Mus musculus: one gene and its partner. The protein of the gene in region 2 interacts with the protein of the main gene of each other region in a pairwise test. Links are inferred from orthologs where the notes say so. Each region holds a gene or a part of one and is shown on either strand. Other genes may lie near its edges.

The links.
Region 1: the proteins of Tpm3 (region 2) and Tnnt1 interact in binary tests that used the Homo sapiens proteins (3 or more experiments, as listed by UniProt). The two-hybrid records come from large-scale screens. The link is inferred for Mus musculus from reciprocal best matches to the Homo sapiens genes TPM3 and TNNT1.

What each region holds. Positions count from the first base shown.
Region 1 is NC_000073.6:4,505,759-4,509,577, forward strand, and holds part of Tnnt1 (troponin T, slow skeletal muscle), read right to left. Parts: coding exon 3,800-3,819; intron 3,367-3,799; coding exon 3,253-3,366; intron 2,826-3,252; coding exon 2,716-2,825; intron 1,855-2,715; coding exon 1,764-1,854; intron 1,666-1,763; coding exon 1,625-1,665; intron 1-1,624. UniProt on the Homo sapiens protein: Troponin T is the tropomyosin-binding subunit of troponin, the thin filament regulatory complex which confers calcium-sensitivity to striated muscle actomyosin ATPase activity.
Region 2 is NC_000069.6:90,089,583-90,092,881, reverse strand, and holds the end of Tpm3 (tropomyosin alpha-3 chain), read right to left. Parts: intron 3,086-3,299; coding exon 3,023-3,085; intron 2,873-3,022; coding exon 2,803-2,872; intron 1,870-2,802; coding exon 1,791-1,869; coding exon of another isoform or gene 1,787-1,790; intron 952-1,786; coding exon 948-951; 3' UTR 752-947; downstream 1-751. UniProt on the Homo sapiens protein: Binds to actin filaments in muscle and non-muscle cells. Plays a central role, in association with the troponin complex, in the calcium dependent regulation of vertebrate striated muscle contraction.

The DNA of each region.
Region 1 (3,819 bases), on a different chromosome or scaffold from region 2:
GCCCTGGCTGTCCTGGAACTCACTTTGTAGACCAGGCTGGTCTCGCACTCAGAAATTCACCTGCCTCTGCCTCCCAAGTGCTGGGATTAAAGGCGTGCGCCACCACCCCACGGGGAGACCTTGTCTTAATAAGAAAAAATAGAGAGAAGGAAAACTGGCAGAAGAGGGAGGGACAAAGAGAGAAAGGGAGAGAGAGAGGCCAGCGAGATGGGTTAGCAGGTAAAGGTGCTTGCAGCCAAACCTAAGATCTGAGCCTTATCCCTGGGACCACAAGGAAGAAGAAACCAAGTCTTCCAAGTCTCCTGAGCACACTCCACATGTTGTATGGTGCACAACTGCCTGTAATTTAGCTCCAGTGGATACAAACGTCTGGTCTCTGTGGGCACACACACACACACAGTCATACCCGAACACACTCATACACCCATATACATATACACACCTACACATACACCCATACACACACACACACAGTCATACCCGAACACACTCATACACCCATATACATATACACACCTACACATACACCCATACACACACACACACACACACACACAGTCATACCCGAACACACTCATACACCCATATACATATACACACCTACACATACACCCATACACACACACACACAGTCATACCCGAACACACTCATACACCCATATACATATACACACCTACACATACACCCATACACACACACACACACAGTCATACCCGAACACACTCATACACCCATATACATATACATACCTACACATACACCCATACACAAACACACATACACATGTACACACTGTGTGCATGTAAACATGATGCAAAAAATGGTGTAAAATAATATGTACTCAGAAAAGAATTGGAGGAATACAGACCGGGAGTGAGACTGAAACCTAAGAGCTGATAAAGAAAAGCAAAAGACTGTAGTGCAGGCCAATAACCCCAGCCCTCCTGAGGCTGAATCCAGAGGATCAGTAGTTCAAGGCCAGCCTCAGCTTCCTAGTGAGTCTGGGCTATGTGAAACCTTGACTTAAAAATAAATAAGCAGTCCAACAAAAAACCAGGAATGGTAGGTAAGTCACATCAACTATCCCAGCATTCCACTGGTTTGAGACAAAAAGATCTGCTTACACATTCAAAGCCAGCCTGGGCTACACAGTGAGTTCTAAGCCAGCCTGAACTACCAAGTAAGACTTTGTCTTGAGCGGGCAGTGGTGGCACACTCCTTTAATCCCAGCACTTGGGAGACAGAGGCAGGCAGATTTCTGAGTTCGAGGCCAGCCTGCTTTACAGAGTGAGTTCCAGGACAGCCAGGACTATACAGAGAAAACCCTGTCTCGAAAAACCAAACCAAACCAAACCAAACAAAACAGACTTTGCCTTGAAATAATAAGCAAATTAAACAGACAAAAAAAGCCAATAAATAAACCCACAAGAACAGATACGGATAGGATGTCTCAGGAAACAGACAGGAGGTGCCAAAAGGGCAGTGGTATGCAGAAGCAGCCGAAGGAGGGAGGGAGGGAGGGAGGGAGGGAGGGAGGGAGGGAGGGAGGGAGGGAGGGAGGGAGGGAGGGAGGGAGGGAGGGAACAGAAGGAGCCGTCTGTGGAGGTTGGGAGTGGCACTCACAATTTCTGGGCGTGGCTGATGCGGTTGTAGAGCACATTGATCTGTGGAGCAGGAGACCAGGCTAGGTAGATGTCCAACCAGGGCCACCTGCCACACCTGTCACCCAGCCTGGGCCCCAACAGAGGCAGGTAGGTCTCACCTCATATTTCTGTTGCTTCAACTTCTCCATCAGGTCAAATTTTTCTGATTCCAGCTGGTGGATCCATTCTGACAGCTCCTGGGCCTTTTCCCTAGCAGGTCGAGAAGGACCAGGATGCAGCAAGATCCAGGCTGCCCTCTGAGTCCAGAGAGGTCGAGCCACTTACCCCAAGCCATGCAGCAAGTCTCTTTGGGATTGGTATAGTCGCTACACTCTTGCTAAATTGCCCACAAAAGGTTTTCAAATGTGTGACCACTTTCTGAAACAGAAGTTCCTAAATGGAAGTCTCCGGAAGTAATGGCTATGAGCCCCAGAGTGAAAGCCGTTTGGTTTTTATTACTTACATAGTGCGTGCGTGCGTGTGTGTGTGTGTGTGTGTGTGTGTGTGTGTGTGTGTGTGTGTGTGTGCGCGTGCGCGCGTGCGTGTGTGCGCGCGCGCGTGCGTGTGCGTGTGTGTGTGCGTGTGTGTGTGTGCGCGTGTGTGTGTGTGTGTGCGTGCGTGTGCGTGTGTGTGTGCGTGTGTGTGTGTGCGTGTGTGTGTGCGTGCGTGTGTGTGTGTGTGCGCGCGCGCGCGTGTGTGTGTGTGTGTGCGTGCGTACGTACGTGCGTGCGTGCGTGCGTGCGTGCGTGCGTGCGTGCGTGTGTGTGTGTGTGTGTGTGTGTGTGAAGTCTGGCCTCCAGCTCAATATACAGTAGAGGATGACCCTGAATTGATCCTCCTACCTCCTCCCTGAATGCTGCAATTCCACCTAAATACGGAAGGGGGCACTGTGGATGCCAGACACTACAGGCCAGGCCATCCACCGGGTAGCTTGCATTTGAGTGACATTTTGAACATAGAAAGCAACAGTGGCCCAGAAAAAGGAGTGCCAATTGCCTGAAGTAACACAGCACCAAGGCTCAGACCCGGAGTATCGCCCGTGGAAGCCTTTTGAGAGCTGCCAGGACCTACCGGAGCTGGTCCTCCCCCATGTAGTCGATGTTCAAGGGCTTTTTCCTCTCAGACAGAATCCGGAGTTTCATCTCCCGACCAGTCTGTCGCTTCCCACGCTTCTGTTCTGCCTGGAGTGGGAGGAATCCCAAGCCAGGGATAGAACCTGGAGGCTAAATCCACTCAGCAAGGCCAGTGCCTCCACCACATGCAAGGAGTACATCTCAGCCCTCCCCCTTCAGACACTCAGGGGTCCAGCCTCAGCCTCCTCCTCCCTCAGTCCCAGAGCTCCAGGCTCCAGCCCTCTCTCCTCAGACTCAGGAACTCAAATTCCGTGCCCCCTCCCTCAAGCGTACAGGCCCCGGTCTTCTTCCCTCACACCCAGGCACCACCAGAGGAACATTGTGGCCGGAAGAGGGACAGAGACAATCAGCAGAGTGTCTCCCTCACCTACTTGCCGCATGCTATCTACAGTGACAGCTGGCCCTGGATGAGGTCCAGCACCCTCAAGTTTCCCTTCCCTCCTTGTAGACGCAGATTTCCACAGGCTAGACTCACCTTGACCAGGTAGCCCCCAAAATGAGCTCCCATGTTGGACAGAACTTTCTTCTTCTTGGCGTCATCCTCTGCTCTCTTCTTTGCCTCCTCCTCCTCCTTCCGCATCTTCTCCTCCTGTGAGAACAAAGGGGTCCACGACATGTGGCCTTACATACCTGATGGAGGAAGAGCCTAGCCTGGGTAGTTGATGGCTTAGCATCTCCATAAGTGAAGTTGGAGCCACGGAGAGAGCCACTCCTTAACTTGGTATATAGTTCAGGCTAGCCTCAAATTCACAAAATCCTCCTGCCTCGGCTTCTCCTGTACTGGGATCATAGGTCTGAGGCCATCATACCCAGCAAAGCTCAGCCTTTGTGCTGTGGCTTAAGTCTCTTAGTCCAGCCCTGCCTGAAGCTAGATCAGCCGCAGACTTTTTATTTATATGCACTGTTCACCCTTCCAATAGGAAAATCCTTATGCTAGACATTACAGGGACTTTCTGAGAACCGTAGAGAGTATCAAAATGGGAAATAAAGTATTCTCCTATAGGGAAAGGACAGACACCTACCGCCAGCTTGGCCTGGCGTT
Region 2 (3,299 bases):
CAAATATGTACTCTGCTAAGAAACTGAAATACTATGCAGCATTTAGCTGTGATACCAAATGTATCTGCTGTATAAACTGGAACAGCTGTGAAGTGTTGATATTCAATTCTACAATGTGTACCAAGAAGAACTTGACTATGAAGTTTAGTAGTAAGTCATTACCCTCACGTGTATGTTGTTTGAAATATGCATGACTAGCTGTTTTCCCTTTGCCCATCATTTGCCGTGTGCGTCCTATAGAGGACAATGGCAGCAGCCTCGAGTGAGCGAGAAATGAGAAAGGCTTAAAGATGAAACACCTATCTATCAAGAATCCAACCCGCCATGTTACACCTTCCTCTGTGAGTTGGGATGATCACTTAACTGTAAGGATGGGTCCGAGGATGTAGTTTCTGAGTCTTGGGCAAAAGGGCAGAGTGATAGGAGCTAAATCAATGGTCACTGACCTTACTGTACGGGAGAGGGGCTAAAAGAATGAAAATGTCCAGGTGGGCTATGTAAGAACTCCTCAGTAAGGTTTGAGGAATAGCACCAGACTTCCCACCATGAGAAGCCTTTACTGGTCACTCGGACAAGACTCCAATCAGCAAGTTTAAGTGTCAAGAAAAACACACACACAAAGTAGCTTTGATCATACAGAAGTTGGAAGAGGGGAAGCCTAATACAGCTGTCCCCACATCACACTGGCAGGACTCCTTCTTATGTACACCAACAACTTTGTCAATAACACAAATGCAAGAGGCCGTGAGGCTTCTGGCAGCTTAACATTTTAATATGGGGTTGGAAAGCAAATATGTAAATTGCTTTGTGTGCCCCCCCCCAAGGCCCTCCAGCCCTAAGGCTGTAGGAACCAGCCAGGCTGACCCAAATGGAATCCAGAGCGAGTGGGGTGTTGGGTTCCCCAAGGAAAGGGGGCAGATCCAGAACAGGGCAGAAACGGTGACAGTTTATCTGTATGAAAAAGGACACTCCAGGTGAGAAGGGCGGGCTCAACTGAGGCAGCAGCTTAGGAAGAAGGAACAAGAGCGACAGAGCAGGAGGAGAGAAAGCCAGACACACGCACGGGCTGCAACACTCTCCCAGGGTTAGTGGGAAGACGCTGCAGGTTAGCACCAACAGATCCACAGCAAACAGGTAAAGTCCCCCAAATCTTTTGGTGCTGTTTACTGCTTGGCTTGCTTTGGGACTCAGCTCAAAACTGGCTGCTTCTCACCCTGGGTATGTCCCATTAAGTTTAGTATCAGGGCACAAATCAGAACCTCTACACATAACCCTAGCAGTCCTGGAATTCATCATTTAGTCCAAGATGGCCTCGAATTCTAGAAATCCAACCACTCACGCCAGGACTAAAGGTGAACGCCACCATGACTGCTCTGTTTTGCTTTTGAGACTCAGTCTTGCCACCCAGCATCAGCTGGCCTTGAACCTGCACCAATCCTTCTGTGTTAGCATCTAGGTGGCTTGGCTTACAGCTGTGTGTCACCCTGCCTAGTTTTGAGAAACCAAAGTGAGAACTCAGTGAGAAGGAGAGCTGGGCACAGTGGCACGTGGCTGTCACTTTAGAGGTTGGAGTCTAAGGTCGATATGGCTTATATAAGACCCTGTTAGAACTAGATGGGAGAATAAGAGAAAATACAAATTACATGAAGATTAAAAGGCTCCCCAAACAGATAACCAGCACCAACATTTGTTTGCAAGTGGGTGGAGACTGCAGATTCAAGGACAAAACCCAAGCACAGTCTTCACCCACCCGCCAGGATTCCAACCCCACGCTGCTGCCTGATAGTTACATAGAGGTCATGTCATTGAGGGCGTGGTCCAGCTCGTCGCTAATGGCCTTGTACTTCAGTTTCTGGGCATAGAGCTCGTCTGGACAGGCACAGGAACCACAGGGATGATGGAGGGGATAAAGTGAAAGGTGTCAGAAGCAGATGAAGAGAGGGAGTCATTAGAAAATAGGAAAACTGTGACCATAGGTCTAAATCCAGGAAGGAAAAACAAACTATTCTGGAAAAAAACATAAAAACTATCCTGGCAGCCATGACCGACCTCTTTCCCCAACAGCTAATCGTACTTCCTGATGTCTCGTCAAGTCAACTGCGGCAAGAACTGAGAACCTGAACACATGCCAGCACTGCAGGCACCCAAAGCCACCTCTCCCACCCAATTCTGAAGCAGTGCTAACACTTAAGGAAGACAGAGAAGGGAGAAGGCACAGCAGTCTTAGTGACTCTCCTCTGCCTACTCAGGGTGGTCACCACTCCGGTTCTACGGCCGCCTCCCCGAACCCTTTCCCAGACCATCCAACACCAAGAGCGTATCAAGGAAGTTAGTCTCAAAGCAAAGGACTTGTTTCTTTGTTAAGGTGGACAGACAAAGCTGCCAAACTACAAGAACAAGAAGCCCTGACTGTTTGATCTGTTCAGGCTGCAAGACTTGGTTGTTATCTCCTGCAGGTGTCACCCGGCCTGAATGATAAAAAGAGATACCCAAAGTGGCCATGGGGTGGCATGCACAAAACCATGGCTTCCATTTCAACTCACAGTCAAGATTTAAGATATCTGAGATCAAATTGGAGATAAATACAGCCATTACATCTTTTCAAAGGATGGATGGCAGATTCCAGAAATAAGTAGACTTACTATAAAGGAAAAGATTTAAAAATCCTGCAAGTCTAGCATTAACACAGGACAGGACGCATCCAATATTCCAAGTCACTACCATTTCTCTGATGCACAGACCAAAGGCTCAAGATTAGCGGGCAAGGCCTTCCTTTCTCACACGCCCTCATGTGCTCCATACCTTCCAGGTCATCAATGGTCTTCTCCAGCTTGGCTACCGATCTTTCAGCAAACTCAGCACGGGTCTCTGCCTGAGGAAGCACAACAACAAACAGAATGAAAGATGGTTACTTCCTCCTCTCGTGCCTCTAAGCCATTTGAGCCAAGGCCAGCAAGGCTCAGGATTAATATTACAATATTAACGCCTCCTATCGTTCATGCGGCTCAGCCCCTCAGCTCACCTCCTTGAGTTTATCAGTAAGAATCTTTATTTCTTCTTCATACTTGTCTTCTTTTTGAGAGTACTGTAAAGAAAAGTAGAATACAAATTTCAGAGTAGAGACCATCTCACAGACAACAGCCATATTATTCTCACATAAGTCATAGACATTCTTCTGGATTTGATTTGGTCCAGGACTAAAAAAAGCAAGAGTCCTAAGACCCAACTATCTGCAAACAAAACTTGCAGTGTAAACTTCACCAGGACCTTTTTTTTTCTTTTGTTAACAGACCTAAATT